Schizosaccharomyces pombe: one gene and its partners. The protein of the gene in region 1 interacts with the protein of each later gene in a biochemical or structural test. Each region holds a gene or a part of one and is shown in the gene's direction. Other genes may lie near its edges. The genes, in order: mid1, rng2 and plo1.

Evidence for each region.
Region 2: the proteins of mid1 (region 1) and rng2 form a complex in vitro, tested with the Schizosaccharomyces pombe proteins (one study listed by BioGRID).
Region 3: of the proteins of mid1 (region 1) and plo1, one has a biochemical effect on the other in vitro, tested with the Schizosaccharomyces pombe proteins (one study listed by BioGRID).

Annotation. Positions count from the first base shown.
Region 1 is NC_003421.2:1,142,491-1,153,102, reverse strand, and holds mid1 (anillin-related medial ring protein Mid1), read left to right. Parts: upstream 1-2,667; 5' UTR 2,668-2,887; coding exon 2,888-5,650; 3' UTR 5,651-5,787; downstream 5,788-10,612. Other genes in the region: SPOM_SPCC4B3.13 (MatE family transporter), read left to right, coding at 1-860; protein Cwf20, read left to right, coding at 1,389-2,261; TIP41 type 2a phosphatase regulator Tip41, read left to right, coding at 5,962-6,720; ubiquinol cytochrome-c reductase assembly protein Cbp3, read left to right, coding at 7,196-8,047; cytochrome c oxidase biogenesis protein cmc2, read right to left, coding at 8,304-8,394, 8,457-8,635; ppc1 (phosphopantothenate-cysteine ligase), read left to right, coding at 9,062-10,012. UniProt on the Schizosaccharomyces pombe protein: Scaffold protein that anchors the contractile ring (CR) at the cell equator during cytokinesis.
Region 2 is NC_003424.3:2,641,381-2,653,823, forward strand, and holds rng2 (IQ motif containing GTPase activating protein), read left to right. Parts: upstream 1-4,047; 5' UTR 4,048-4,136; coding exon 4,137-8,606; 3' UTR 8,607-9,047; downstream 9,048-12,443. Other genes in the region: myo-inositol transmembrane transporter Itr1, read right to left, coding at 1-48; hcs1 (3-hydroxy-3-methylglutaryl-CoA synthase), read left to right, coding at 2,244-2,303, 2,480-3,763; U5 snRNP complex subunit Spp42, read left to right, coding at 9,358-12,443. UniProt on the Schizosaccharomyces pombe protein: Component of the contractile F-actin ring; required for its construction following assembly of F-actin at the division site.
Region 3 is NC_003424.3:2,157,725-2,167,437, forward strand, and holds plo1 (Polo kinase Plo1), read left to right. Parts: upstream 1-6,506; 5' UTR 6,507-6,515; coding exon 6,516-8,567; 3' UTR 8,568-9,041; downstream 9,042-9,713. Other genes in the region: ER zinc importer, CDF family, Zhf1, read left to right, coding at 1,088-2,251; Clr6 histone deacetylase complex subunit Pst2, read left to right, coding at 2,848-2,878, 2,925-3,105, 3,184-6,199; putative potassium ion transporter Mdm28, read left to right, coding at 9,482-9,521, 9,578-9,713.

The DNA of each region.
Region 1 (10,612 bases):
CAATTGTTGTACCTATTAATATTTTTCTTAATTACCTTTTTGTGTGGAGTCCCTGGGTTGGTTTCGGTTTTCTAGGTGCACCGGTCGCTGTAGCATTAACGCTATGGAGTGCTTGTGCTGTTCTAATTATCTATATTATGAAGGTAAACGGACGACAAGCATGGGGAGGTTTTAGTAGAGAAGCATTAAAAAATTGGGGCCCGTTATGTCGATTGGCTGTTCCTGGTGTAATTATGATTTGCAGTGAGTACTGGGCTTTTGAACTCGTTACTTTCGCATCGGGCGTGTTGGGTACCACTGAATTAGCCTCTATGTCTGTTTTGTCTACTACCTCGACCCTTTCTTATAATTTGGCTTTCGGTGTCGCTGCTGCAGCTGCCACAAGAGTAGGAAATTTAATTGGTGCTGGAAATACGAAACTCGCTAAGCTAGCTACGCACGTTTCTATCAATTTAGGTGCTGCAATTGGTGTTATCATTGCTGTAATCCTTTTTTTAACTCGCAACACATGGACTTACATTTTTACGTCTGATAAAGATGTCGTCGCATTGGTTGCAACTATCATTCCCCTTGTTGCACTCATTAATATTGCCGATAATACACAATGTGTAGCTGGAGGCCTTCTTCGGGGACAAGGAAGACAAAGGATTGGTGGGGTAGTAAATTTCATCGCATATTATTTATTGGGTTTGCCTGTTGCCATAATCCTTTGCTTCAAGCTAGATTGGGGGCTGTACGGTTTATGGATTGGAATTGGAGCTGCAATTCTAATTATTGCTGGAGTAGAAACTTGGTGCTCATTGCATGTCAATTGGGACCATTTAGTTGAACTTGCTAATCGTCAGTTTGATGAGGCTTAAAAGTTGATACGGACAAGTTAATGATTATTTAAATATGTATTGTGGTTTGTCATAAATTGATATATTTGAAGAGATATGTTCGGTTTATGATACCATGGTTACGACTACTAACAGTTGATTGATAAAAGTATTCGAGTCGGTACTTTTTCCAGTCTTCAAGATTTGGCCATGTTTTGGCCTATCCTAAAAATTAAGTTTACGAAAATTGCAGTGCTTTAAACTCTCATATTTATGAAGCTTATAAAAGTAAATTAAATTAATGGTAATTTGGAATCTTTTTGGGTGATTAATATATAAAATACCACATATGCTAGCTAGCAACGTTGGGCGGTAGCATTCAATTAAATATTATTTCTTTTTAAGACTTACTTAAAGAATTAATTTAAGTTTGAATAAATATGTAAATCATCTTGCAGATGCGAGTATATTAATTGCCATAAATAATTCTGTTCGCAGTGAGAATAGTTACCGAGTACAAATCGCTCGCTCAGAATTATTAAACGACTTAATATCAAAAGTTAATAAAATATGTCTCTGGTTTCATATCCTCGATCAGAATCCGAAAGCGATATTGAAGAAGAAACACCATTAGCTTCTAAAAGTTTCGATCCTACTTTGTTTCAGCATGCGCGCAGAAAATTGTCGGTTGACAGCACTAAAAAGTCACCTAAACGCCTGAAACGGCAAGTTGATTTACAGAAATCTTCTTTTAATGATAAAACTTTTAATGAATCTGATGTTATCTCTAATGAACGATTTAAATCTAATGATTTACTTGAACTTTTGCCTGCCCCAAAAAATCAAGCTGAATTAGCTCCAAAGTCATCTAAAAGATCGGACCTTGATTTAAATGAAAACTATTTATTACCTAATAACTCTGTAAGCGATTTAACCTCTACTGGATCCTCCGAAACTGTCAAGAAATCAACGTATTCAGAAAAGTCTGGTAACGTTTCGTTATTTAATATCGTAGGATCAGAGTCAAAGCAAGCCTCTTTAGTAGATTCCGATCAGAAACCTTACCAACCAATTTTGATAAAACCTAAAGCTAGAGCAAATCCTCCGAAATTGAGGAATCAACCCGAGAACGATTTCATTTCTATTGCTAATCACTCAGTACATTCAAATGCAGAGGACATAAACATTATCAATGAAGATTACATTGAAATTGGACGCCACCGAAAAGAGAAGGGACGAATTATAGACGTTGATATCAACAAACTTCCAAAACCGACCCAAGAAGCATTGCCAAGCGCCCCTACTATTAAAAGTGTTGCACCTGGTCGTCATCAACTGTCTTCTCTTGTTGAAATGGCTATCAGTCAAAAAGACAACTTTGAAGCTTATTTTGAGCAGCAACGATCAAACAAAAAGGCATCTTCTCAAAAGTATGGGTTTTAGCTTTAAGTAAATGTTACGCCCCGATAGTTAGTTTTAGGTTTTAACTGCTCGTGTATTTGTAAATTAAAAGCTGTTTATCAACAGATTCATTTTATGTATTTTTTTTTAGTTTCTGCGAAAATAGCAGACAACAAAATATGATTTTACTTATTTTATTTTACATACTAATGACTTTATTCATCGCTATTCATAAGCATACTGATAATACAATATTATCTTTGCAAGTATGTCCCAGCTATAATTCATATTTGCAATGCAACTAGCCTTTTTTTGTTAATTTTAAAAAGGAAACTTGGCTTTAATCTTCGATTTATGGTATATCCAGAGTTTGAATTGTTTAACCATATAATCAGTGTTCTCACTGGGACTACCACTTATCATAGCGTCTACCGATTTTGTGTGACCTATGCCTACTCCACATGACTGAGGTGAAGAAGGATTTCAATAAATTATAAGAGGTTTTCGTGCTTTTAGCATCAATTTTAATAGAATTTGAATTAATATTTGCTATAAAGAAGAAGGCTCGTCTTTTGTTGTACTTCAGGGTGCTTATATGATACTGTGTCCACATTTTAACACTCGATAAGGTATTATAGTCTGTAAAGTCTAATTAAGCTATCCTGACGATGAAAGAGCAAGAGTTCTCATATAGAGAAGCAAAAGATGTGTCTCTTGACTCTAAAGGCTTAGAAAACAGTTTTCTTTCTTCTCCAAATCGAGAAAAAACACCCCTTTTTTTTGAGGGTAACAGTAATGAAACCTCGGGATATGATCAAACAAAAAACTTTACACATGGAGATGGCGATATGTCCCTTGGAAACCTTTCGGAACTAAACGTTGCGACAGATCTTTTAGAGTCACTTGATTTAAGAAGCATGTATATGCATGGCTATGGGCACCTCGATTCATCTTTTTCTTCTCAACATAGTCCTGATAATCGTAAAAGAATGAGTAGTACATCAGTGTTTAAGAGGATTAATTCCGAGGAAGAAGGTCGCATTCCTAGTTTGACGTACTCGGCAGGAACTATGAACTCGACAAGTTCTTCTACTGCGTCTTTGAAAGGTGCTGATATTGTTGCAGATTATGAAACATTTAATCCGGATCAAAATTTAGCTGAATTATCCTTTGACCGCTCCAAATCGTCTCGCAAGAGGGCGGTAGAAGTAGCAGAATTTAGTCGAGCTAAGACAATGTCTCCGTTGGAATACACTGTTCAACATCCATATCAATCCCATAATGAACTGTCTACAAACCCAGCCCGAGCAAGAGCTGGAAGCGTTCCCAACTTGGCTCGCATACCATCTGATGTCAAGCCCGTACCTCCAGCACATCTATCTGCATCTTCTACTGTAGGTCCAAGGATTCTTCCTAGTCTTCCCAAAGATACCACAGAGGACAATCCAGCGTTGGAAAGGGTCGAAACGACGGCGTCTCTCGATATGGATTATAAACCTTTAGAACCTTTAGCTCCCATTCAGGAAGCCCCTGTTGAAGATACTTCAGAGCCTTTTTCTTCAGTCCCAGAGGCCACCTTAGACGACTCAGATATCTCTACAGAAAGTCTTCGTAAAAAGGTTTTGGCCAAGATGGAAGCAAAACGGATTTCCAGTGGATCTTCCTATGCTAGTACACTTAGGAAAGTTTATGATTTCTCTGAGCTTTCCCTTCCCACCAACGGTAAAGACTATGATGAGTTATACCTTCAATCTTCCCGTAATTCAGAACCTGAGATTTCTACTATTATCAATGATTCTTTACAACAGGAAAATATGGATGAGGATATTAGTGCCACTTCAATTCCGAAATCTCAGGCCGCCTATGGTCATGGATCTGTAACGTATCATGAAGTCCCCAGATACAATCTAACTTCTGCTTCCGTGGGATATAGTATATCTAGTCAACGTGGTCGTATAAAAAGCAGTTCTACCATTGACAATTTGAGTGCTATTTTAAGCTCTGAAGATTTACGTCACCCATCAATGCAACCCGTACCAGGAACGAAGCGTACTTATAGTAATTATTGTGAAAATGAGCCAAACAAGTCTAGCCAAAGTTTAGTCAGTTCTGAGTCCCATAACGTCGAAGGATGGAATTATTCGGAAACTGGTACAGTAGGTTTTTACGACCCTAGTGCCGAGATATCCGCCAGCATTGATGAACTTAGGCAGTCTACGCCTGTAGCCAGAGATAGCGAACTTTTAAGTCGTGCACATTCCTTTGATTTGAATCGCCTTGATCTTCCAAGTCAGGATAAGAGTACGTCTTACGAAGTCCCGAATGGTACTGAAAATCAATCACCACGTCCTGTTACTTCTCTTGGATTTGTGAATGAAACATTTTTTGAAGAGAAACCAAAGGCGCCCTTGCCACTTGGTCGCTTTTATATACATTTGAACAGCATTTTGAATATTTCGATAAGTGAAGTCCATTCACCTATCAAGATAATAGTTAATACGCCTACGCAAAATATGCAGCTTCCTTGGCAAGCTGTTAATGGGAATAATAGGTTGGACCATGATTTTGCTTTTCATGTTGACGATAACTTTAAAGTGAGTTTTATGTTTCTTGACATCCCTATTGAGGACAAGTCCAACGGTTCGAAAGGAGTATCTGCTACAAAAGACGTTTCAAACGGTAAGCCTGCTGAAACGAAATCCAAAGCTAGGAAATTTTTTGACAAGCTTTTCAACCGACGCAAAAAGAGAAAACTCAACAAGGCTGCTGCAGTTGAGAATTCAAAGGCTAAGAAGTCAGTGGTTATCAAGAAAGTCTCGGGTACTGCTACGTTAAATTTGGGTAATGTCAAAGACAGTTGTTTTGGAAAGGCTTTCAACGTAGAAATACCCATCATTTCCAGAGGCTTCTTGGAAGCGATTCCTGTAAAAATAAACTCTATAGGGAAACGTACACTTGGTAATCTAACTTTGACTTGTTTGTATATTCCTGAGCTTTCGGTTCCAGAGCAGGAATTGCCATTTACCTTAGAACAAGCTACGATGGACTTGCGACACGTTAGAAGTAACTATCTATATAATGAGGGATACTTGTATAGATTGGAAGATTCATCTATTCGAAGACGTTTTGTCGTTTTACGCTCAAAGCAGCTGAATTTTTATGCTGAAAAAGGTGGGCAATATTTGGATACTTTTCAGCTTTCTAAGACAGTAGTTTCAATCCCAATGGTAAATTTTTCAGAGGCAGTTTCAAACCTCGGTCTAGTAGCTGGAATATTGGCTACATCTGTTGATAGAAGGCATGTTCAGTTGTTTGCGGACTCTAAAAAGGTTTGCCAAAAATGGCTTCAGGTGATGAATTCACGCTCGTTTGCTCTAGATAGGGGTACTGAGAAATTATGGTTACAAGAATACGTGAATTTTATGGCTTAATATCTGAATTTATGAATACTAATCGTCTTAATGTATTTTTTGAATAATTTTTACTTATCGGATTTACTAAATGAGGGAGTTGAACTGAAATTATATAACTACTGAATTAATACTTATAGATCATTTTTCATTTTTAATCTGAATAATTAATCAACTTTTGGTTTTTTGAATATACTCTATAATGAGTAAAGTAATATAAAGGTGTTTTGTGTTGGCTAAATTTACATTACCTATATTTTGCCGTACGCACTCTAAATTGTTACAATAATATAGGGGTCAAGCAACTACTCAAATCACATTATTTAAAGGAGATGCAAAAACAAGATGATTTTTCATTTAAATATTGGACTATCAAAGTCCAACGGGGGTCAATTTTAAAAAGCCATGAGATGGAGAACCTTCAAAGTACATTGGGTTTTCCACCTCCTGAGATGACCTTTGGGAATAATTACATCTCAATTGAATACAAGAATCAGCCTGTAGTTGGATTTTTTACTGAAGATGCTCTTAAAATGGTTGGTACCAAACCTGAAGATGTAATGCAAGTTTCTTTTGCAAAAGACTGGGCCAAATCCAGAATTAAGCCCGGAGAAGAATACCCTGTGATTTACCCATTTGATTGGACTTATTATACTGATTATCAGGGAACTATACAACGTCCAAATGCAAAATTCATTGAAATTGATCAGGTAATACCTGTTCAAAAAATACTTAACGCAGGACAAAATTTATGGTTCAATGAGATAATTCTTTTCGAAGATGAGTTAGCAGATAATGGAAAATCAATGTTTGATGTGAGAGCTCGAGTTGTTCAGGGTCATTTAATATTGTTAGCACGCCTTGTCGTACGTTTAGACAAGGTAAATGTTCGATTGAATGAGACGAGGATATATATTGATTTGTTGAATGATTTTCTCTTGAAGGACTGCCGTAAAAAGCAAGCTACTTACGACAAAATTATTAAACAAATACCTGTGGGGGGAGACAAAGCTGCATTGCTAGATGATAACAATTGGTTAAGTGAGCGCCTTGATACCGTTGACCATAAAATCTATAAATTGAATTTTTGATGCTAAAATGATTCGCTAATGGCAGACATGAGAATTTAGAACTTTTGTCAACGAATGAGTGTTGAAGCAATTTACAAGTTTATTACGTTTAGTTCATGGTAATATTTATAATCATTTTCAACTAAGAGGTTATTAATTTAGGTTTTCTAATTGAGAAAGCAAAATAAATAGATACAATCTTTGGTACGATTAAACGGCGAAGATATACTACTGAAACTGCAAACAAATTTAAAATGGTCCAGTAAATTTTAGAGTATACTTAATTAGGAAGAATGATGGCCTCGTAATATTGATCGTTCGTTATAACATTGTATTTGGCAATCAACCTGTCACAACCTCTCTTCCCCTTTATATTGTACGACATTAATCGATCCGTTTTTTATTTCAACCCAACTCCTACGTATTTATTTGCAGGTAATAATTAATTTTATTAATTAAGAAAAGATTATCAAAAGATCCTTATCGTCATTCAGTAATGAGTCGCTGCTGTTTAAATTTGCCATTGAGACCAGCATTTGTTAAGCAGCCGGTATGGGGGAAGAGTATATACGGTCCCTTAAGAAGAAGATTTTCATTTTCTCCAATAAATGTTATTAATCATTCACCTTCGGAAACGAAGAGAAGAGACCCAGTAGAAGAACTCAGATACAAACCCCTTACACCTCCTCAAGATCCACGTAAAGTGGCTCCGCCAAATAGTTTTCTAAAGAAAATAAGTCTTATTTATCAAAAATATATCTCTCCTAAACAAAATTTATATTATGAGGCTACTGGTACTGCAAGATACATGTATTTTGAGGCTGCTCGACAAGCTACCCCCGAAAAAAACTCGCTAGGTGCTTTTGAATTTTGGTACCAGAAGTGTGAAATTCCTATGACATTTCAGTCTTGGTTTCAAATAACGCAATTACATTTGTGGATCCTCCATACTCGCATTCGTGGTTTGCCAAAAAATGAAAAAGTTGCCTTTTCACAGGCATTAACTACTCGTTTCTTTGAAGACATGGAACTCAGAATTCATAAAGATTACCGCATTAATAGCAATCGAATTTCTGGTATGTATCTGAAAGATCTGTTTCAGCAACAGACCGGCGCCATTTTTGGTTATGATCAAGGAATGCTGGGAAGTGATGCTGTTTTGGCTACATCCGTTTGGCGTAACCTTTTCGTTGGTCGCCCAGACGTCGACTTAGTAATTCTTGAGACTATTGTTAAATTTATTCGCCTCAATGTTTATCGCCTGTCATGTTTATCAACCGATGACTTTATCAATGGGAAGGGAGTACACTTCGTCCCACCTGAAGAAAGTGCACAAACAAATATTTGATTAATAAATGATTGCTACTCTAATGATTAATAAATTGACGAACGGTCATGTTTATTATGCAAAACCATGAATCTTTTTTGTAAATAATTACTTTGAAAGCTTTTACCATTACGTTAAATTGAAAAGTAATGAGGAGCTTTTGAAATATTTTATAGTAGAGAATGTTTGTCAATTTAATTGAAATCGTAGCATTATGTTGTATTGGAACTAGTATTTTAATAGCAGTTAATACCGATATTATCGATGCATTAATTAGCTACTTCTTTTCGTCTTGCTTTCCGATAAAGCTTTCTTGTTTAGCTTTATTGTATTCCGACCTGATCTGCCACTCCGATATTTCGTCTGCGCTGCATATTCCATATTAGTTACATATCCTTTTTTATACATGATTGATGAATAAGTTTCTTACGCTTTGGTTAAACAATCCTTCATCGTTTTATTTTCACTTCTACATTTCCAGGTTACGCTAAAAGTCCTGCCAGTAGCGCATTTCACAAAATCTTCAATTTCTTTCTGGCAATTTTTTTTTAATAGCTTTTGGTGCTGTTTCCGAAGATCAAATTCCTCTTCAATTGGAGATTTATTCATTTTAGATAATCAGTAAAATGTTGGTAACTAAACCACGTTACCCAACAGAGCGCAAATAAATGAAAATTTTTAGTCTTAAGTTGATTAAAACACAAACTTAAAATTTATTTTAATTTTAGCTTTTCATAAAAGACAAGCACGAGTTGAATAAAAAAAAAAGGCCTTAAGTGTAATACAATCACAAAGTGTCGCGTTTCAGTCGTTTGTGGTGTCGCTATCGTCTACATTGTTCAATAAACAGACCACTACTTGCTGAATTTACAAGCTGCTAGAGAACTGTTTGGTTAGCATTTCAGATTTTGTGAGTTCTCTAGTCCTATCATTCAGCAATAACGCATACAGTTTTTTAAACGTCGTTTGTTTATTTTTGAGCTCATCGTAAGAGAGGCATTTCTGGGTTGCGATACTCTTAGCTATTTAGAATATATGCCAGAAATGGATAAATCTAACGATTTCTTTGAGGAGAATCCTTGTCCTAACTCACTCGGTGATGTCTCAAGTCTGATTGAAGATTTTATAAACCTTCAATCAAACTCCCAAAACATTGCATTTGTTACTAGTGGCGGCACACTTGTGCCTCTTGAGCAAAATACGGTGCGTTTTATCGATAACTTTAGTGCAGGAAATCGTGGTGCAGCATCTGCTGAATACTTTTGCAAGTCTGGATATTCGGTCATTTTTCTGTATAGAAATTATAGTTTAATGCCATTTACTCGACGATATGAAGGTCCCTGGACAAATTTGTTTGAAAGAAGTAATGGCAGTCAGGAGAAGCCTTGGATTGTCAAACAAGAGTTTCAATCGACAGTATTCAATGCACTCAACGAATTAGATACATATACGAAACATCATCGACTGATAATGATTCCTTATACTACACTCACAGAATATTTGTGGTACCTGAAAGCTATAGCTGAACGTTTACAGATAATCGCTTCAAGAGCATTGTTTTATTTAGCAGCTGCTGTTAGTGATTTCCATATTCCACCGAAGGAATTGAGCGAGCACAAAATTCAAAGTGGTTCTGGAAGTAACAAATTAGAAGTCAAAATGCATCCGGTTCCAAAATTTCTGCGTTTCTTGGTTGACACATGGGCTCCTGAAGCTTCTATTATTTCCTTTAAATTAGAAACCGACCCTAGTATTCTGATTGATAAAGCAAGAGTAGCTTTACAACGTTATAACCACCAGCTGGTGATCGCCAACCTTCTTTCAACAAGGAAACGATCTGTCGCGTTTGTAACCTCAAAAACGGTTGAATGGCTTCATTTGAGCGACGATGACATTGTAAAAAAGGTAGAAATCGAGCAATACATTGTTTCGAGGGCAATTTCGTTGCACAAGGAACGAATTCAAGAGTTCGCAAAGGCACCTTAAATTATGTTTATTGACGATTAGTCGATTATGAACTTATAAAAAGTACTAGTTATGTTTCTTATCTGCTTTAACTTATATGAACTATCGGTTTTTCTTTTAAACATTTTACTCATTTATATTGTTAGGGTTTATTATGCAAACACCAGTGGTACTTTTTTATTTCTCTATCATTTTCGTCTTGTTATTTTACGAAGTTGCTTTATAGCATTTGTAGAGGGGTTTACGAAAAAAATGAAAGGCTTTATAAATTGCTAATACGAGCTATGAATTGAATCGTGTACTATTGGATCTGTTGTAATTTTTTAAAAATTGCAGCTTTTTTTTTAGATACTTATTACTGTTGTAGATTACTCAGGTCTGAAGTGTGTTAAAGAATATATTAAAAATGATGATTAGTTTATAAAAATCAATGTCAGGAGTATATAGAAAGCAAAGACTTGAATTTAAAATGCGCAACAGTTATCTTGAATGAACAAAAAATAAATAGTGAGTACCTGTAAGTAGTAAGCGTATATGATTGTTTCTAAAGCCTTCAGTTCTTTTTGAGATCCCATACTTCTTATGAGTCGCTTCAAACCCCATGACTAAAATGCTCATGTT
Region 2 (12,443 bases), on another chromosome or scaffold:
GAAACCCGCTGACGTTACATTTTGAAAATCCTTGGAAGAGATTGACATCTTGCTGAAACTTTTGAATGTAAATTAATAAGATTATAATTAAAGGAATGGTTTTTAACGTTAACAAACTAAACAAATAAATCGTAAGTATGACAGGAAACCTAAAGATGAAGTAAAAATCGATAATGAGCGAAAGCGCTAATAATTTTTTAGCATTCGAAGGGATATGTTCAAAGGATTGCTATGATATGCAATCAGTACAACCCAGAAACTTGTTATATTTACCGCTTAGATAAAAGATGTATCCGAGGAACTCTGTTCTTAAACGAAAAAAAAGACGTTAACAAACAGTTACAACGGATAAGACCGGAATTTTCGAAAGAGAGAAGTAGAAAGTGTTGAAATGTCAGCAATTAAGAATGGTTGTCTCACACTTCTTAACAATAAAACCAATGAATCTTTTTGATTTTTTAACGTTTCTAGATAGAATTGTTTAAAATACGTTTGGGTTAAAGAGCATTTAACGGCAAACTTTTTGACAGCGGAAATTAATGTGCGTCTAGTAAATGAAAACAGAAATTAAAAGGTATTCAGACAAAGAGATCAAACGTTAAGTAATTTTTTTTAAACTTTTTTTTTTTTTTTTTTTTTTTAATTGAGAAGGAAGTAGTTTTTAATAAGCTAAACAGACGTCAATCAACATAAACACATAGAAATATGGATCAAACCAAATGTGCATATGCGCTTAACACTTAGCAAAGATGCGTAATCGGCAGAATTAAATGCTTTGGAAGCTGGTTTGAATTAGCAAGCTGAATCGTTAATCAAAGTATAGGAACATAAACCCAATGGTGACTTCAATAGAACGAATCGATTGAGTATATCAATTCCAAACGCTTTGTTAATAGAGAAAAATAGCACAGCAACAGAATCGTTTTGACTTTTAGCAGTTGAGGAATGTAAAAAATGTAGAAGGGCATATATATATATACATGCGCTACTGCAGCATCCGATTCGTAATAGCGGAACGAACTAAGGTAATACAATGTAAGCTCGTTATTTTTATGCTTCTTTTGTTTTACAGTCTCGATTTTTGTATTAAATTAATTAATTATTTATTTTTGGTTCTGTAAATAAATAAGAAAAAAAGTAACGACTTTTCTGTAGAATATAAGTTTAATTTTGTGACTTATTGCTGCTTATAGTGGGTTTATTGAAATACACAATATTACTCGAAAAAAATCAGACATTTTGAAAGACTAATTCAAACGTTAAATACAAATCACTATGTTTGGTATCCGTAAAAAGCACCTTGCTATCAATTAATAAATTACTACTTGAATTTCGAATGGATGGAGGCAGCAATAATTCAATTCTTATTTTTTAATGCTGTTCAATATTTATTTATTTTTTATGTTTCGTCCAAAAAAATATTGGATTTAAGTGCCGCATATAAAATTTAATTTAAAATACGAGCGAACTACTGCCGACTTAAAATAGATAATTTGTATGCATATTTCAAGTGGAATAAAGCCGATAAAAACGTAAAATTGAAAAATTATTATATGAAGTGGACTTGTTATAAACGGAGTAGTAAAACATAAAAAACCATTACTTCTTAAATTTTTCACTTCTTTAATCTGTACTTATTTTAAACAATTCTATTTGTAATTTCGTAAATGCGATATTTATGGGTTTATTAATTTCTTAAGTATAAGTAATACACGAGTGCAGTCAGCATAGCCAAATAATTAATTTTTAGAAAACAGTTATGAATTTCTATTTGAAACAAAGTACGATTGAGAAGCGAATTGTTCACTTGTCCACCGTTTGTATTTGTATATTATTTGCAAAAGAATAAAACGCAAGATAAATGTTAGCCGAAAATATAACGTTAGCAATGTTATTCCTTTTAATATTCAAGAATTGGTCGATCTTATCATACGAGAAACGTGAACGTATGATACAAAGCTATTCCCAGCTAATAAATAAATTTTTCTATGAATAATAATTTATTTATTAATCGTAGATTCAGAATTTAATTGAAATATTATAATAGCTCAAATAGAAAAATTCCTAAACACACGTACAATAAGATACGTTGCAACGCGTTAACACACTGTCGCTCTAACTAAAGCTATCTGTTTCATTTAACCATAACCAAGATACTTCGATAATTTTCCGCTTAGTCGCCTCACAAATAGGTTAGTGCAATCTTTTTTCAAAACCCTCACACTTTGTAGAAACTCAAGAAAATGTCCTTTGATAGAAAAGATATTGGTATTAAGGGCCTCGTGTTGTACACTCCCAATCAGGTATGTTATAAATGAGTCGCTACTTTATTTCAAAACTTCTCCTCCAAATTATTTGCATGCATTACCTACATCTTTTTTCAATAGTACAAATTTACGCAAGCTTCAGAGGAAAGTAATAGAAATACTTTCTCATTAAATTCCTTCAGAACCTGATATTAATCGTTTTTACCCTATAGTATGTTGAACAAGCTGCCCTCGAAGCGCATGATGGAGTCTCTACTGGAAAGTATACTATTGGCCTCGGCTTGACTAAGATGGCTTTTGTCGACGATCGTGAAGACATTTATTCCTTTGGTCTTACCGCTCTTTCTCAACTTATCAAGAGATACCAAATTGATATAAGCAAGATTGGTCGTTTGGAAGTTGGAACTGAGACTATCATCGATAAATCTAAGTCTGTCAAAAGTGTTTTAATGCAACTTTTTGGGGATAACCACAATGTCGAAGGTATTGATTGTGTTAATGCCTGTTATGGTGGCGTGAACGCTCTTTTTAACACAATCGATTGGATTGAGTCTTCTGCTTGGGATGGCCGTGATGGTATAGTTGTCGCTGGTGATATTGCTCTCTATGCCAAGGGCAATGCTCGTCCTACCGGTGGTGCTGGTTGTGTCGCCCTTTTGGTTGGTCCTAATGCCCCTATTGTTTTTGAACCTGGTCTACGTGGTACTTACATGCAACATGCTTACGATTTTTACAAACCCGATTTGACGAGTGAATACCCTTACGTTGATGGCCATTTTTCTCTTGAATGTTATGTTAAAGCTCTTGATGGAGCATATGCTAATTACAATGTTCGTGATGTTGCTAAGAATGGAAAAAGTCAAGGACTTGGATTGGATCGTTTTGATTATTGCATTTTCCACGCTCCTACTTGCAAACAAGTCCAAAAAGCATATGCGCGTTTATTGTACACCGATAGCGCTGCTGAACCATCTAATCCCGAGTTGGAAGGTGTCCGTGAACTTCTTAGCACCCTGGATGCTAAGAAATCCCTTACCGACAAGGCTTTAGAAAAAGGTCTTATGGCCATAACTAAAGAGCGTTTTAACAAACGAGTTTCCCCTAGTGTCTATGCCCCTACCAACTGTGGTAATATGTACACTGCCAGTATTTTCTCTTGTTTAACTGCATTACTTAGCCGTGTCCCCGCTGATGAACTTAAAGGAAAACGCGTCGGTGCTTACTCTTATGGTTCTGGTTTGGCTGCCTCGTTTTTTTCATTCGTTGTCAAAGGCGACGTCTCTGAAATTGCCAAGAAAACTAACTTGGTTAACGATTTGGATAATCGTCATTGTTTAACCCCTACGCAGTATGAAGAGGCTATTGAGCTACGCCATCAAGCACACTTGAAAAAGAATTTTACTCCCAAAGGAAGCATCGAACGTCTTCGTTCAGGTACTTACTACCTTACTGGTATTGATGACATGTTCCGCCGTAGCTATTCGGTGAAGCCTTAAATCACCGAAAAAAAGATTAGAATGCAAACTAGATACTGTTAAAATCTCTTTTAGTAGACTTTTTTTTGATACATGAATATGTGATTTTGACAACTTTTTTGTTAATTATTTAAAACTCATACGTATTGTAGTCTTAAAATGAATAACCTTCATTTGTAATAGCATAACCTAAATAATTAGAGTAAATTCGTCACTAACGGACAGTATCTTGAATTAAACTACTTACACCTAAAAACCCCCCACTCATCTTGATAACCCACATTTTCTTTGTCTGAGTAACAGCTACTCTCCACTAACATAGCCGAAAAATTGTGTGCAGTTACTTTATCTAGTTTGAGATCGAATGCTGAGTAGGTAGTCATCAGAAGTCTCAATGGACGTAAATGTGGGATTATCTAGACTTCAATCTCAAGCTGGGGCACCTGTTGGCACGAAAGGGTCGAACACTCGTTTAGCAGCCAAACAAAGAGAAACCCTTCAAGCATATGATTATTTGTGTAGGGTTGATGAAGCAAAAAAATGGATAGAAGAATGCCTCGGCACAGATCTAGGACCAACGTCTACATTTGAGCAGTCGCTGCGAAACGGAGTTGTCTTGGCTCTCTTGGTTCAGAAATTTCAACCCGATAAACTAATCAAGATATTCTATTCTAATGAACTCCAGTTTCGCCATTCAGATAACATTAATAAGTTTCTTGACTTTATCCATGGCATTGGGCTTCCCGAAATTTTTCATTTCGAACTGACTGACATTTACGAAGGGAAAAATTTACCCAAAGTTATCTATTGTATTCATGCCCTTTCTTATTTCCTTTCTATGCAGGACTTGGCACCCCCTTTAATCAAGAGTGATGAAAATCTATCTTTTACTGATGAAGACGTTTCAATAATAGTCCGTAGACTCCGACAATCTAATGTAATCCTTCCTAACTTCAAAGCTTTAAGTGCCGATTTTATGCTTCGTGCTAGTCCTGTTTCTTCTCGCACTCCTTCCCCTACACGATTTCCCAAGCATGCTCGTTTCCAAACCCTAAATTCATCAGATTCTGCATCTATATATTCGTCTCCTTATACTTCTCCTACTTTAGAATTTTCGAAGAAAGATGCTAGCGCTCGTTCAGACATCCTTAAGATGCACAGAAGGACGAAATCAGCGACACCTTCGTTAGAACAATTTAATGAACCATATAAACAAACTTTGCCTAGTCATTCAATCGAATTCGAAGACTCTTTTTTTCAACCCCCTTCTCAAAAGGGACATATGCAACGATCTTTCCTCACAACATTTTCAGCACCCACAAGAAGACGGGAGGCACTATTTTCTACCACTTCTGGACTTAGTCAGCGTAGCCCTGTCGATGAGAAAATCGTGAACGCGATTCAAGCTTGTGGTCGTGGCGTACTTGTGCGCTTGCGTTTGGTGGATATGTTACAATCCCTCGTGGAACAAAGTTCTTCTGTCGTACTTCTGCAAGCCGTAATTCGTGGATATATATCTAGAAATACATACAGAATACGAAAGAAAGCATACGATGAACTTGTAAACTGGGTTACTTCTATTCAATCCATCTCTCGTGCATATCTGATACGTGCACAATACCGTAAAGTGGTTTTACAGGAGGAGGCAACGAAGTCAATCCAAACGTTACAAAGCATTATTCGTGGGGGTTTCTATCGTCGTAAATACCACTCGTTAATAGAGAGGCTAGACTTATTTACACCATCATTTGTGTTAATTCAATCCTCAGCTTTAGGATTTCTTACCCGTCATGCAATAGTTAATATGCTTGACAACCTTTACAACTATATCCCTCTCTTTAACCGGATGCAAAGTATACTGCGTGCAAATATGTTTCGGAATGAATGGTCTAACTTTCTAGATTCCGTACAATCGTTTCCCGTTTCTTTTCACTCTATTTGCAAAGGACGCTTGATAAGGGATTCTATAAACAGATTAAATGGATCACTTCTGGGAGAACTGGATAATTTTATTAAACTACAAAATTTATCTCGAGGATTTATGATTCGTCGGGCATTTAAAGAGAAATTGGAGAAATTAAAAGCATCAACATCCTCTTTCATTGCTCTACAGGCAATTGTTCGGGCTTTTCTTTTAAGAAAAAACTTGGAAAGCATTTATGATTCTTTTCAAAAATCGCACCTATCTGTCATTAAAGCCCAATCTCTTTATCGGGGATTCATTACTCGAACCAAAATTGATTATTGTAACGACTATTTGTTAAAGCGATTACCAGATATCGTGTTTATGCAATCTGCAGTCCGTGCAATTCTTTTACGAGATGATGTGAATTATACTGAAGTTCAGTTAGATTCTTTTATTCCTGAAATTGTATTGTTACAATCTTTAATTCGTGGGTATCTATCTCGAAACAAATTTTCAAGAAAACTTCAAAATTTTCATAAGAATATGGAGAATCCCATAGTTGCGAAGTCCATTTTTAGGGGTCGTCAAGAAGGGTTGGCTTATAGAGAACTTGCTACGGCCAAAAATCCACCTGTTATGACGGTCAAAAATTTTGTTCATTTATTAGACGACACCAATTTCGACTTTGAGGAAGAAGTATTGCTTGAAAAAATGAGAAAAGAAATTGTGCAACAAGTACGAGACAATGAAGAAATTGAAGTTCACATCAATGAACTAGACGTGAAGATTGCTTTGTTGGTTAAAAACAAAATCAGTTTGGATGATGTTTTAAAACATCACAACAAGTATAAATTTGGAAAGCAAAGCACTGAATATTTAAAAATTAATACTCTGTCTATGAAGTCACTCAACAATTCAAGCAGAAAATTTTTGGAACTTTATCAGTGTTTTTTCTATGTGTTACAAACCAACGAAATGTACTTAGCAAATTATTTTCAAGCGCTAAAAACTGAGGGCACTTCCTCTGTAAAGATCCGTCATGCTGTTTATTTAGTTTTGCAAATTTTCGGCCATGGCTCTAACCGACGAGAAGAAGTACTACTTTTGAGATTCATTTCCCAAGTCATTAAGCTAGAAGCAGCTTTAGTTAATTCATCTCAGGATCTACTTTCTGATGACTGTGTCTGGAAATTACTGTTCACTGGATATCGTGGGGACGTTCGTGAAGTGAAGCTTTGGAAAACTATTCTCGGCCGCATTCACAAGGTTTTAGTAGCCGACAATCATTTGGATTTTGAAATCAATCCGTTGACTCTATTTAAAAGTTTCAATCCTGAAGTTGCCAGTCAAACTGATAGTCCAAAACTCACTTTGTCGTTAGCAATGCAACACCCACCGACAAGAAATCTATACGTTAGCAGACTTCGTGAACTTCGAAAACTGTGTCAATCATTCCTAGTAGCACTTTCTAAGAATATTGAAAATATTCCTTATGCTTTATGCTATACTGCAGCACAATTGAAAAATAGCTTACAACGATATTTCCCCGCTGCGCATAAAGAAGAAATTTTTGGCGTAATAGGGAAATTTGTTTATTGGGCTTATGTCGCTCCTGTACTTGTGTCACCCGATAACTTCAAGTTGGTTGATGGCTCTATTACAGCTCTTCAACGAAAAAACCTTTACACATTGTCAAGCATTTTGTCTGAGATCTTTTCAATCGAGTCCTGTGACTCTAAGCAACTTGGTTTTTTTAGACCACTCTCCGAGTTTATTGAGGTGTCCAAGCAGGATACCATGTTGATGCTAGAAAGGCTTGTCGATGTGGTTGATCCAGAGGTGTACTTTGAGTTCGATGCTTTTGAAGACCTTGTTAATACCAAGCGGCCAGTAATATACATGAAGCGAGACGATATTTTAGGCATTTATTCATCTATTGCATATGTCATAGATAGTATTGCTCCTCCTGATGTGAACGATCCATTACGCGCTGTTGTCAATAGCTTAGGTCCTGTTTCAGAGCAAGACAATGACTTTGTGCAAGATGAAACTGACGTCAAACTAGAATTGAATCCCAAATTTTGCACTATAGAAAATCCCGTTGCTCAGGAACGGACTCTTATTGTTCAGACAAAGAGATATATATTATTTATTATTCGAATTCAAAATGGCCTTAATCTTTTGGAAATACTTGTCAAACCGGTTACAGATTCAGACGAAGCAGCATGGCAAAATTTATTGGCAGAAGAATCTGAAAAGAATGCAAGGAATTATGATTTGTTTGATGATTCTATCTTTTCAATGTCATTTGCAGAACTGAAATACACTGCACTAAGCAATATAGTGGAAATGGAAAAGCTTGGATTTGCAAACCGACGGAATAATTACCAAGATATGGTAAATTCTATCGCTCTAGATATCCGTAATAAGTCGAGAAGAAGGATGCAACGACAGCGTGAACTTGATGCGGGACATCAAAGTTTGCTTAACTTACGAGAAAAAAGAGCTTTCCTTGATTCGCAGCTAAAAAGTTATAACGAATACATTGAACAAGCTATGGAAACATTACAATCAAAGAAGGGTAAGAAGAAGCTTATTCCTTTTTCTAAACAGTATTTTCACATGCGAGATCTCCGAAAATCTGGACGCGTTCCTCGCTTTGGGTCGTTCAAGTACCCAGCTCTTAAACTCTATGACCGAGGAGTTTTGGTATCAATATCTCATATGCCGCAGAAAGAAAAATTGTATATTACTATATCAGCCGATGAAGTTGGCAAATTTATTCTGGAAGCAACAAGCCCGACAGTTAAAGTTTCGAGCCCAAGGTGTGAATTGCATTTGGACGACTTGTTGTCTGCTCAATATAACAAGGTTTTAACTTTGGATGTTTTGGATGGCCGTCTCAAATTAAACACCAATATGTTCTTACATTTGATTTTCTCCAAATTTTATTCATGAGACGTTTCACTTTGTTCATTTTTCCGTCTCTTTAACTACCCAATGATTTAATTCGAATTAACTTAAAACCGTCAAATATCTTTGCACATTAATACTTGTCCATATTCTTTTGGCGAAATATGTATACTATGTGATATTTTCTCCCCTTTAATTCTGATAATTTGCACAGTTTTCCCATTTCATTCACTTAGTGTGGGGGGTTTTTTTATCACTACTTGTGTTTACTTATACTGTACAAATCTTATTTAACTCGGTGTTATTTTTCAAATTTTTTTTTTCAACTAAAGCCGTTGAACCTGAAACACTAAATCAAGGAATAGGAATTTTTGGTTTATGCATACTAGTTGTACTTGGTAATTTATACTTTCTGAATTAGTTAAAGGTTTATAATTACAAATAACACTTTTTTATAACAAAATGTAATTTATGTCAATACATACATCTTTACTAATTCTTATAAGGCGATTCGATTGAGCATGATTATGTTCAAATTAACCTTTGGATATGGGTAGGTGTTTGGTTGACAAACTTCTTAAGCGTGTTGCATTTTAACGAAGAAAATTTGAATTTTCAAATCCCGTATAGCGTGTAAAAAAATATACATTAAACACGTATTATGAGCAGAAGACTACATAGACCTAATATGAAATAAAACGCACAAAAGAATATTACGCACAAATAATGGCGAGGGTCACCACCATACAAAGTAATATTCACTACCACAATTCAGCTGACAAATACCATTACCTAAATGGCGTCGTTACCACCGGGGAATCCTCCTCCACCGCCTCCTCCGCCTGGATTTGAGCCTCCTTCACAGCCTCCACCTCCTCCACCTCCAGGTTATGTGAAGAAAAGAAAAAACAAGACTCCAGCACAGTCTGGAAATCTTGAAAAGCAACTTAACGAAAGAGCACGCAAATGGCGCGCTTCTCAAAAATCAAAGTTTGGTGTCAAAAGGAAGCAGGGTTATGTTCAAACAGAGAAAGCTGATCTTCCGCCTGAGCACCTGCGCAAAATTATGAAAGACAGGGGAGATATGTCTTCTAGGAAGTTTCGTGCTGATAAACGTTCCTATTTGGGCGCTTTGAAGTACTTGCCACATGCTGTGCTAAAATTGCTTGAGAACATGCCAATGCCTTGGGAAGAATACAGGGAGGTCAAGGTTTTATATCATGTAACCGGTGCTATAACTTTTGTAAACGAGAGTCCTCGCGTAATTGAACCGCATTTTATTGCTCAATGGGGAACGATGTGGATGATGATGAGACGCGAGAAGCGTGATCGAAAAAATTTTAAGCGTTTGCGGTTTCCTCCTTTTGACGATGAAGAGCCACCATTTTCTATTGATCAATTGCTTGATTTAGAGCCGTTAGAGGCTATTAGAATGGACTTAGATGAAGAAGATGACGCTCCTGTTATGGATTGGTTTTACGAAAATAAGGCTTTGGAAGATACTCCCCATGTAAATGGTCCAACCTATCGTCGTTGGAAGCTTAATTTACCTCAGATGGCTAATTTACATCGTTTAGGTTACCAACTTTTGAGTGATTTACGCGATGATAATTACTTTTACTTGTTTAATGACAATAGTTTCTTTACGGCTAAAGCTTTGAACGTGGCTATCCCAGGAGGTCCGAAATTTGAACCTTTATACAAAGACGAAGCCCCAGAAATGGAAGATTGGAATGAATTTAATGACATTTATAAACTTATTATCCGACATCCCATTAAAACTGAATACCGGATAGCGTTTCCTTACCTTTATAATTCTAGAGCTCGAAGCGTTGCACTAAGTGAATACCACCAACCGTCTAATGTTTTCGTTCCTCCTGAGGATCCTGATCTTCCGGCTTTTTTTTGGGATCCCATAATAAACCCCATCACTTCCCGCCAACTCACTTTGCATGAACTAGATACCTCTCCCGAAGATTCTGCCATAGAAGAAGATCCTAATTTTGAAATCCCTTTCGATCCTTTCTTTCATTCCGAAGATATAGAATTTGAGCACACAGCCAGTGCTCTGATTTTATTGTGGGCACCCCATCCTTTTAATAAGCGATCTGGTGCGACTAAGCGTGCGCAAGATGTTCCACTGATAAAGCATTGGTATTTAGAGCATTGTCCTCCTAATCAGCCTGTTAAAGTTCGTGTGTCATATCAAAAACTTTTAAAATCCCATGTTATGAATAAGTTGCACATGGCGCATCCCAAATCGCACACCAATCGCAGCTTACTTAGACAGTTAAAAAATACTAAATTTTTTCAAAGTACTTCTATCGATTGGGTTGAAGCTGGTCTCCAAGTTTGTCGCCAAGGGTACAACATGCTGCAATTACTTATTCACAGAAAAGGGTTGACATATTTACATTTGGATTACAACTGTAATTTAAAACCTACAAAGACATTAACTACGAAGGAAAGAAAGAAATCTAGGTTTGGTAATGCATTTCACTTGATGCGCGAAATACTTCGCCTTACTAAATTAATTGTCGATTCTCATGTACAGTATCGTTTGGGAAACATTGACGCATATCAGCTAGCTGATGGATTACATTACATATTTAATCATGTTGGTCAACTTACGGGAATGTATCGTTATAAATATCGATTGATGCGGCAGATTCGTGCTTGCAAAGATTTCAAGCATCTTATTTATTATCGCTTCAACACTGGTCCTGTTGGCAAAGGTCCAGGTTGTGGGTTTTGGGCTCCCAGTTGGCGTGTATGGCTTTTCTTTCTACGCGGAATTGTTCCTTTGCTAGAGCGCTGGCTGGGCAATTTGCTTGCTAGACAATTTGAAGGCCGTCATTCTACAGGAGTGGCAAAACAAATAACCAAGCAGCGTGTCGATTCTCATCAAGATCTAGAATTGAGGGCTGCAGTGATGAATGATATTTTGGATATGATACCTGAAGGAATTCGCCAAGGCAAAAGCAAAACCATTTTGCAGCATCTTAGTGAAGCTTGGCGTTGTTGGAAGGCTAACATACCTTGGAAGGTTCCGGGTCTCCCTGCACCTATTGAGAATATGATTTTGAGATATGTGAAGTCAAAAGCAGATTGGTGGACCTCAGTCGCTCACTTCAATCGTGAACGTATTCGTCGAGGAGCTACTGTTGATAAAACCGTGGCGAAAAAGAATCTTGGCAGATTAACTAGGCTTTGGTTAAAAGCTGAACAAGAAAGGCAACATAATTATCTAAAAGATGGACCTTATGTAACTGCCGATGAGGCAGTTGCTATATATACTACTTTTGTACATTGGTTAGAAAGTAGGCGATTCCAACCTATTCCCTTTCCTCCACTTTCGTACAAACATGATACGAAACTTCTTGTTTTAGCACTTGAACGCTTAAAAGAAGCGTATTCGGTGAAGGGTCGCTTGAATCAATCCCAACGAGAGGAATTAGCATTAGTGGAACAAGCCTACGATAATCCACATGAGATGCTGTCCCAAATTAAAAGGCGTTTATTGACAATGCGTACTTTTAAAGAGGTAGGGATTGAGTTTATGGATATGTATTCTCACTTGATTCCTGTTTATTCTGTAGATCCGATGGAGAAAATTTGTGATGCTTATCTCGATCAATACCTTTGGTTTGAGGCCGATCGTCGACACCTATTTCCTTCCTGGGTAAAGCCTTCTGATTCAGAACCTCCACCTCTTCTTGTTTACAAATGGTGCCAAGGAATTAATAATCTTACAGATGTTTGGGAAACTTCCAACGGCGAATGTAACGTTTTAATGGAAACTAGGCTGTCTAAAGTATTTGAGAAAGTTGACTTAACACTTCTTAATAGACTGATGTCATTACTAATGGACACCAATTTAGC
Region 3 (9,713 bases), on another chromosome or scaffold:
ATTAAGCAAACCCAGTAATAGCTAAAAATAGTTGAAACATCTAGGATCATTTTCAATTCCTTATTTATTTACTTCTAAACAGCCGTTCGGCCAAGTTTCTGTGAGCTACAAGAAATGATGGTATCTTTCAATAAACAATGATTGGCGTTGCATAAAGCAAGCGTATGAATGGAATATTGAGCTATTAAAAATAATATAAATATGCAATTTCAAACGTTTTCGGCTTTTAAAAGTGGAACGTGGCACATTTAATCAACGTAAATCATTTTTTTTTTACCTATAGAAGTTTACCCAAAAATTGATACCAAGTATTAGCTTTATTAACTAATTACTTTTGGTAAAGCGGTAGAACCTATTCGACGAAATATCAATCAAATTACCAAGTACGATCTTGTCGCTCACTCATTACCCAAAAAATCATAGAAAGGACGATCCAAATATGTGTGCATATTGCTTATAATTAACTCGTTTATTACTGCGATACTCTGTAATTCGTTGTATCTGATTACGAATAATAATAGTCACTTTTACGATATCAATTATTATCAGATAAATATTTTCGATCGCAAAATTTGATCTTCTAACTATTTTGACTAATTTGTGCGTTTATTCTTAACACCGAATTGAAAGAAAATTTCAAAAGGTAGTCTTTGTTAGTTCCTTTTGTGGTAAACGCGATTAGTGGCCAGTCACTTACAAAACTTTGTTAAAGCAGACTAATAGTAGTCAACGTGTGATTTTATTTTTTCTTCACCGCTTACTTCTCAAAAGCCTCCTTTTTAATTTACTATCAAAAACGGCAGTTTTGGCAGTTTTTTGAAGGTTTATTGGTTTAATTAATTTATTCTGTAAAAACAAGGAAAGCAAAATTACAGATATTTGATTCTTTAGATTTTCTTAAACCCTCTCGCATCTTCGTCTTATTTTGGCTTTTTTTTTTGTTAAATATAGCAAGTTTGCGCCTCTTTTATTTAAATTCATTTTTAAAAAGCCACCTTTCATTCTAAATTTACCTTATTCCTTTTTCTCCCTGTGAAATTCAACCCTTACCATTTTTTTGAAATTGGTGACTTTTCGTTTTCAAACTATGTTCGACCTCGCAAGACAAACTCGGATTATCCTTTTATTAGGTATTGATGTTACTTTTTTCTTCATCGAAATTATTACTGGTTATGCGATCGATTCACTTGCCCTAATTGCTGATTCATTTCATATGTTAAATGACATTGTCAGTTTACTGGTCGCTCTCTGGGCTACTCGTCTAGCACATTCAACATCTCACGAACCAAAATACACATATGGCTGGCAACGTGCAGAGATTTTAGGTGCTTTGTCGAACGGTGTATTTCTCATTGCCCTTTGCATGTTCATTTTTATGGAAGCCATAGAGCGCTTCATTGAGCCTCCTTCTGTCAGCAATCCCACCCTTATGTTCTTTGTTGGTTCTTTAGGTCTGCTAAGCAATTTCGTTGGTATCTTTTTATTTCATGACCATGGTCATGATCATCCTCACACCCATACCGCTCAAAATTACGATTTTCCTGAAGAAGATGATATTGAATCCGTTTTACCTTCGACTATCGTTCATCGTTGTAATACCAGTCAACAAGAAGTCAGCCATACACACACTCAAGTCGCAGACTCTGCTACCGAATCTTCTCCTTTATTGAGTTACACTGGTAATCATAATGGTGCTGGTACTTCAAAGCCAGTCAACAACCATGGCAGTATTGAACAAGATGCACCAAAACAAACGAAGAAACGAAATTTGAATATGCATGGTGTCTTTCTTCATGTCTTGGGTGATGCTCTCGGTAATATTGGTGTTATTAGTGCTGCTTTATTCATCAAGTATACTGACTATTCTTGGCGTTTCCTCTTTGACCCATGCATTAGTATCCTTCTTACTTTCATTATTCTTTTTAGCGCAATTCCTCTCTGTAAATCCGCTGCTCTCATCTTATTACAAGTTGCTCCTCAAAGCATCAAACTGGATGATGTTTCCAACCTAATTAATCATCTAGACGGCGTGGAATCTGTTCATGAACTCCACATCTGGCAGCTTTCGGACGTTAAATTAATTGCCACTGTTCATGTCTGCGTTACACTTCCTGATGATAAGGGAGAGTCTTATACAAAGCTTACTACGGATATCCGTAATGTCCTTCAATCTTTTGGTATATATGATGTTACCATTCAACCAGAATTCGCCAATCATCCGCTTTTATGTGACCAAGGTTCCTCGTCTTAGTTTGCGAACATTATAAATTTAACGTGGTTAATCTATTGTGTCACATCTTTTGATTTATTCTTGAGGTAAAATTTTATATTGAATGTTTACTTTGTTTCATTTTTAAAGCGTAATTTCTTCTGCCATTCCTGTTCGTATTTAAAAACTTTATTTCACCATCTTGGTTGTTTGTTTTGCGAATGCACTTAAGTAAAGTAGTCGACAACTTAACTTTGAAAGTAGATAGTTTTCGATTTCTTATTCTTGATGAAGACGATGCATAGTTTCGGTTTTATTAAATCTCTATTATTCTTAGAAAATAATGTTTAGATGTAGTGTTTAATTATTTAAAAGGAATATTTTTTAACAATTATATTGGGTTTGATTCTTCTCGTTAGTATTTTTTCTAAAGTATTCGTTGTAAGTGTAAAACACCATCCAATGTGGTATTTGTGTTCATGTCTTGATAAATCATTTGAACTTTGGCTATCAGCGTCAGTTCATGTAATGCGTTGACGAGTTTGTGCGCTTAGTTGCATTTGCCGTTTCCCAAATCATCACCTCCAAAATAAACGAGATCGTATTCCTAGTCATTTGATGGTTAAAGATCAAAATACATGGAACAAACACTAGCGATATTAAAAAATGGTACGTATCAATTTAATACATAACTCATTTTAACCAATGTTGTTAGACAACTCAACGTTAGTGGCCGAGATGCAGAATCAATTAGTCCATGATTTTTCCCCTAATGGTACCGCACTCCCCGAGCTTGATATAAAGGCATTCGTTCAAAAGTTGGGTCAAAGACTGTGTCATCGTCCTTATGTTTATAGCGCTTTCATGGATGTTGTGAAGGCTTTACACAATGAAATGTATATATGGCTTATTTACTGAGTTGCTTTGAGATAGCTCTTTTTTTATTACTATTCACTTATTAACATGAACATTAGTGTCGATTTTCCCGGGTTTATTGAAAGAATATCTGTAATCTTAAGAGATTACCCAGATCTTTTAGAATATTTGAACATCTTTTTGCCCTCGTCTTATAAATACCTTTTATCGAATAGCGGTGCCAACTTCACATTGCAATTTACCACCCCATCTGGTCCAGTTTCTACACCGTCTACTTATGTAGCTACTTACAACGACTTACCTTGTACCTATCATAGAGCTATAGGATTTGTTTCACGAGTTCGACGAGCATTATTGAGCAATCCCGAACAGTTCTTTAAATTACAGGATAGTCTTCGTAAGTTTAAAAACTCTGAGTGTTCGCTTTCTGAGCTTCAGACTATTGTAACGTCTTTGCTAGCGGAGCATCCATCTTTAGCCCACGAGTTTCACAACTTTTTACCAAGCTCCATCTTTTTTGGGAGTAAACCTCCTCTAGGATCGTTTCCATTAAGAGGAATTCAGAGTTCCCAATTTACGTTGAGTAATATTTCTGATTTGCTTAGTCAATCAAGGCCGGACAACCTCTCACCATTTTCACATTTATCAAATGAGAGCAGTGACTTTTTCAAAAATGTGAAAAATGTACTTACCGATGTAGAAACTTACCACGAATTTTTAAAACTCCTGAATTTGTACGTTCAAGGGATAATTGATAGAAATATTCTGGTGAGTCGTGGGTTTGGGTTTCTTAAATCGAATTCGGGACTTTGGAGAAGCTTTTTAAGCCTTACTAGTTTGAGTCCGGAAGAGTTTTTATCTGTATACAATTCCGCTTGCTCAGACTTCCCGGAATGTGGCCCGAGTTACCGATTGCTTCCTGTCGAAGAACGCAATATTTCTTGCAGCGGTAGAGATGATTTTGCATGGGGTATACTTAATGATGACTGGGTCAGTCATCCAACTTGGGCATCTGAAGAAAGCGGTTTCATTGTTCAGAGGAAAACGCCTTATGAAGAGGCAATGACAAAGTTGGAAGAGGAACGTTATGAATTTGATCGGCATATTGAAGCTACTTCCTGGACAATCAAGTCTCTTAAAAAAATTCAGAACCGTATAAATGAATTGCCGGAAGAGGAAAGAGAAACATATACTCTCGAGGAAGGGCTAGGTTTACCATCAAAAAGTATATACAAGAAAACTATTAAGCTTGTTTATACCAGTGAGCATGCAGAGGAAATGTTTAAGGCCTTGGAAAGAATGCCTTGCCTCACATTACCATTGGTAATCAGCAGATTAGAAGAAAAAAACGAAGAGTGGAAGTCTGTTAAAAGAAGTCTTCAACCTGGATGGCGAAGTATTGAGTTTAAAAATTACGATAAGAGCTTAGATTCACAATGCGTTTATTTTAAGGCAAGAGATAAGAAGAATGTATCTTCAAAGTTTCTCTTAGCAGAAGCCGACATTCTACGATCGCAAGCGAAGCTCCATTTTCCTTTGCGAAGTAGATCAGCTTTCGAATTTTCTTTTGTATATGACAACGAAATAGTACTTTTTGATACTTGTTATATGGTATGCACATACATTGTATGTAACTCTCCCTCTGGTTTAAAGAAAGTTGAGCATTTTTTCAAGAATATATTGCCTTTACATTTTGGTCTTGAAAAGGATAAATTTTCGATATTCCTGGATCAAGTTTTTCGTGGTCCTGATTACGATGTGAATGCCCCGAATATAGTTGGTAACAAGCCTGTACGTCGGAAAAGATCTAATTCTATAACCCAGTTGACGGAATTTGTAAAACAACCTAAAATCAATGGTCAACGCGAAAGTCGTTCAGCTGCAGCTGCTCGCAAAAAAGAAGAATCCGGTAACAAATCACAATCTAACTCTCAAAACTCTTTAAGTGATGAATCTGGAAACGTAACGCCGGTTTCTAAGAAACAGCTTTCACAACCTGCTGCAGCCATTAAAGCCAGTCTCAAATATCCAAGTCATCCAGATAGTCTTTTGGAACATCAAGATCATGCTGGTGATACGGAGAATGAAATGCATGACGACGTCGATAAAGAACAGTTTGGATATTCTTCTATGTACGTATTTTTTAGACTTTTTAACTTATTATACGAAAGGCTTTATGAGCTTCAGCGTTTGGAGGATCAAGTGTCCATTATCCAACAGCGTATAATACCAAACCCAGTATCTCAAAAACAAAAGATTTGGCGCGATAGGTGGAATGATCTTTCAGATGTCCCTGATGAAAAAACTCATTACGAAAATACTTATGTGATGATTCTTCGATTAATATATGGGATAGTTGATCAAAGTGCCTTCGAGGACTATCTGCGGTTTTATTATGGCAATAAAGCCTATAAAATATATACTATTGATAAACTCGTTTGGTCTGCTGCTAAACAAGTCCACCACATCGTTTCCGATGGAAAATACAAATTCGTTACTAGTTTAGTCGAACAAAATAGTTCTGCTTCGCCTAAGAAGAATTATGATGACTTTCTTTATCGCTTGGAAATTGAAAAGCTTTTGAATCCTGATGAAATTTTGTTTCGATTTTGTTGGATAAACAAATTTAAATCATTTGGAATCAAAATAATGAAGCGAGCGAATCTTATTGTGGATCAAAGTTTGGATACACAGAGACGAGTTTGGAAAAAATATGTTCAAAATTATCGTATACAAAAACTTACTGAAGAAATATCTTATAAAAATTATCGTTGTCCCTTTCTTTGCAGAAATATAGAGAAAGAAAGAACAGTTGAGCAATTGGTTTCACGCCTTCAAACAAAGTTATTAAGATCTGCAGAATTGGTTTCCGGATTGCAAGCAAAATTATGTTTAGACTCGTTTAAATTGCTCTACTTACCACGCACAGAAGATTCTTACATAGATGCATCTTACCTGCGCCTTAGAGATACCGACTTCCTTGATTGCCAGAATAAAAGAAAACAGCGTTGGAGAAATCGATGGGAATCGTTATTAAAATCGGTTAGGGGAACTTCTGACAACACGGCAGAGGTGAATTTTGATGCTGACATTAATGCACTATTTATCCCATAATGATTTTAATGCAGTCGACCTACCTATTGATCATATTTACTTAAATACAATTTGACTTTAATAGTTTTATATTACTTTGTTAACATAACTTATCTTTCTAGGTATTTTATAATTTCAAGGATTTATGTATAGTACGAATTTACTGAAATTTTTGCACATAAGCTTTGTATTAAATTTTCTAAAGCCGTACTTCTGTAATTACTACATAAAATATTACAATGCACAGATTTTTATTTACAAACAAGCGGTTGTCGTAGCAACCACTTTGTTTACCCTCAAAAGTTACCACCTGCGTTTTGTTAGAAACAAATACCAAATGGCGAGTGTTGCAATTAAAGAGCCCAAAACTGCTATAACCCCGAAGAAGAAGTCCAAAGCCTCTCGTCTTTGCTTTACTCCGCCAACTAATCTTCATAATAATAAAAAAAATATATTCTACACTCGCTACGATTGCATTGGTGAAGGCGGCTTTGCGAGATGTTTTCGAGTCAAAGATAATTATGGAAATATTTACGCTGCTAAAGTTATTGCTAAAAGGTCACTACAAAATGATAAAACAAAGCTGAAGCTCTTTGGAGAAATAAAGGTGCACCAATCCATGAGTCATCCAAACATCGTAGGATTTATAGATTGTTTTGAAGATTCGACGAATATTTACTTAATTTTGGAGCTTTGTGAACATAAATCTTTAATGGAACTTTTACGTAAGCGAAAACAATTAACTGAGCCAGAGGTTCGGTATTTAATGATGCAAATTTTGGGAGCTTTGAAATATATGCATAAAAAGAGAGTCATTCATAGAGATTTAAAGCTTGGAAATATTATGCTTGATGAGAGTAACAATGTAAAAATTGGTGATTTTGGGCTTGCCGCGCTTTTAATGGATGACGAAGAACGTAAAATGACTATCTGTGGTACACCGAACTACATCGCACCTGAAATTTTGTTCAATTCAAAAGAAGGACATTCATTTGAAGTTGATCTTTGGAGTGCTGGAGTAGTCATGTATGCCCTCTTGATTGGAAAGCCACCCTTCCAGGATAAAGAGGTAAAGACAATTTATAGGAAGATAAAAGCCAACTCATATAGTTTTCCTTCAAATGTCGACATATCTGCAGAAGCAAAAGATTTAATTTCTTCTCTTCTGACACATGATCCAAGCATTCGTCCCAGTATTGACGATATTGTTGACCATGAATTCTTTCACACTGGCTATATGGCTTCTACACTTCCAGATGAAATTTTACATTCAATGCCTATATGGCCTTCTTCCCAATCAAAATCAAGCTTTCAGAGAAACCTGGACTTCGTTGCCTCTGCTTCCGGAGTAGGCTTTGGAAATTCAGCAGGTGTAGAAAAGAATAAACCTTATGCACTTCGAACAGATGAAGTTGATAATGATCGAATATTACCAAGTGTTTTAAGTCCAAGGGACCGTGTCAACCCTGTTATGAAAATAGGACCGGAAACCAAACCTGTACCATCAAAGCTCTCTACAGCCCTCCATGCAGCTCGTAAATCCACTGATGGAAGTTTAGGCTCAAGAGTTAAAGTTTTGAGAGAAGAATCACAATCATTTGTTCCAACTAAGAGCGCTGTCACTGAACAAGTTGAACCTATTCAATTAATTCGGTCTTTATCTGCAAATACAGTTTCAAGACTTTCTAAGGTTGGAAATATGAAATCAGACATTTGGATCAGCGTAAAGAAGACAGCTCTTAAAATCGGGATGGCATTGGAAGCACATACACACGCTTTAACTTCAGAGGATGCTGACTCTGAGCCCGTTCTTTTTATTACAAAGTGGGTTGATTATTCCAACAAATATGGTTTAGGATACCAGCTATCCGATGAATCGGTTGGCGTACACTTTAATGATGATACATCCTTGCTTTTTTCAGCTGATGAGGAGGTTGTCGAGTATGCTTTACATCCTAAAGATACAGAAATTAAGCCATATATTTATCCTGCTTCCAAAGTTCCTGAATCTATAAGAAGTAAACTTCAGCTTTTAAAGCACTTTAAAAGCTATATGGGACAAAATCTTTCGAAGGCTGTGCAGGATGAGAGTTTTGAAAAACCCAAAAACTCAACTTCCAATACCATGCTTTTCATGCAGCATTATCTTCGTACGCGTCAAGCTATAATGTTTAGATTAAGTAACGGAATTTTTCAGTTCAATTTCCTGGATCATCGAAAAGTTGTTATTTCCTCTACCGCACGGAAGATCATTGTATTAGATAAAGAGCGAGAGAGAGTGGAATTGCCTTTGCAAGAAGCATCCGCATTTTCAGAAGACTTGAGATCTCGCTTAAAGTATATTCGCGAGACGTTGGAATCGTGGGCGTCGAAAATGGAAGTGAGTTAATAATACCGTTAATCTATACTTGGGCGTTAAGTTACTATGCTGTCTATTTTTCCATATTTCACATCCTCATTTTTGTACTATTCATCCATTCAATTCAGTTTTATGTTAATGTTTTACTAATTCTTTTTTTATTATTTCTTTCCCTCAGATACATCTTTTAAACGCAGGAGCTCTTGACGAATAAGTTATAAACTTAAATTATAGCTGCAAATATCAGCTTAATCCCTTTTCAAAATTTTTTATTTTTTGCTTTTAAATTGATCGCTGCAAATTCTGTCTTAAGGCGACACTTATTTATCTAATCAAAAGGATTCACAAATCTCAATGTTCCAAGTGTTATCCAAAATGTTAGACTAGTCACAGCTATGTTAATTGATTTTTATTCTCTCGCTGTAACTGAAATCCTTTTCACAGATTAGATACATGTTTTGCTAATTATGTCAGTAAAATGTGTACAGTTGAGTTCAATCTGCTGCATATTAAGAATCACAGACTTTGTAACACCAAATTAAATTAATTAATAGTAGCATTATTTATTGTTTACAAGGCATTAATTTATACTTCACTAAGTATATCAAAAGAGCAATAGTACTGGTTTTTACTAGCAACTGTCACGTTGAATCCAAATAGCAGGAACATTTTTATAATAAATAGGCTGATGCGATAAAAGAACTGTTTGCTTTTAAAGTACTTATAAACTAATTCCAGCAATACATAATTAGTAAATAAAATGCTTTCTCTACCTACGCTATGCTATGTTAATAGCGATTGAGGAAATTACCTAACGGACAATACACTAATTAGTTTAACGAATATGAAGCTTTGCGTAGCATGCGTTAAATCTCTTTACTATTTCATAAACAAGCCGAGTCAAATTGATGAAGTATCCAAGAACGCATATCCAATTCCCCAGTATGCTTCGGAATCGTTTGTTTAAAACCCCACATCAGACTGGTAAGGATATTAATGCTTTTTCAAATTGCTCTTCAATTTGTACTAACGTTTTGTAGGCTTTCAATGGAGGTTAGGCGCTCCGGCGACGGGAATTACAATCAGGAACCAACCTATTAGAAGCTATTCAGGTCTGCGAGGAAATTTTTTGATTGATAAAAGACTCTCTCCTGTCAAATTTAATAAATATAGTCC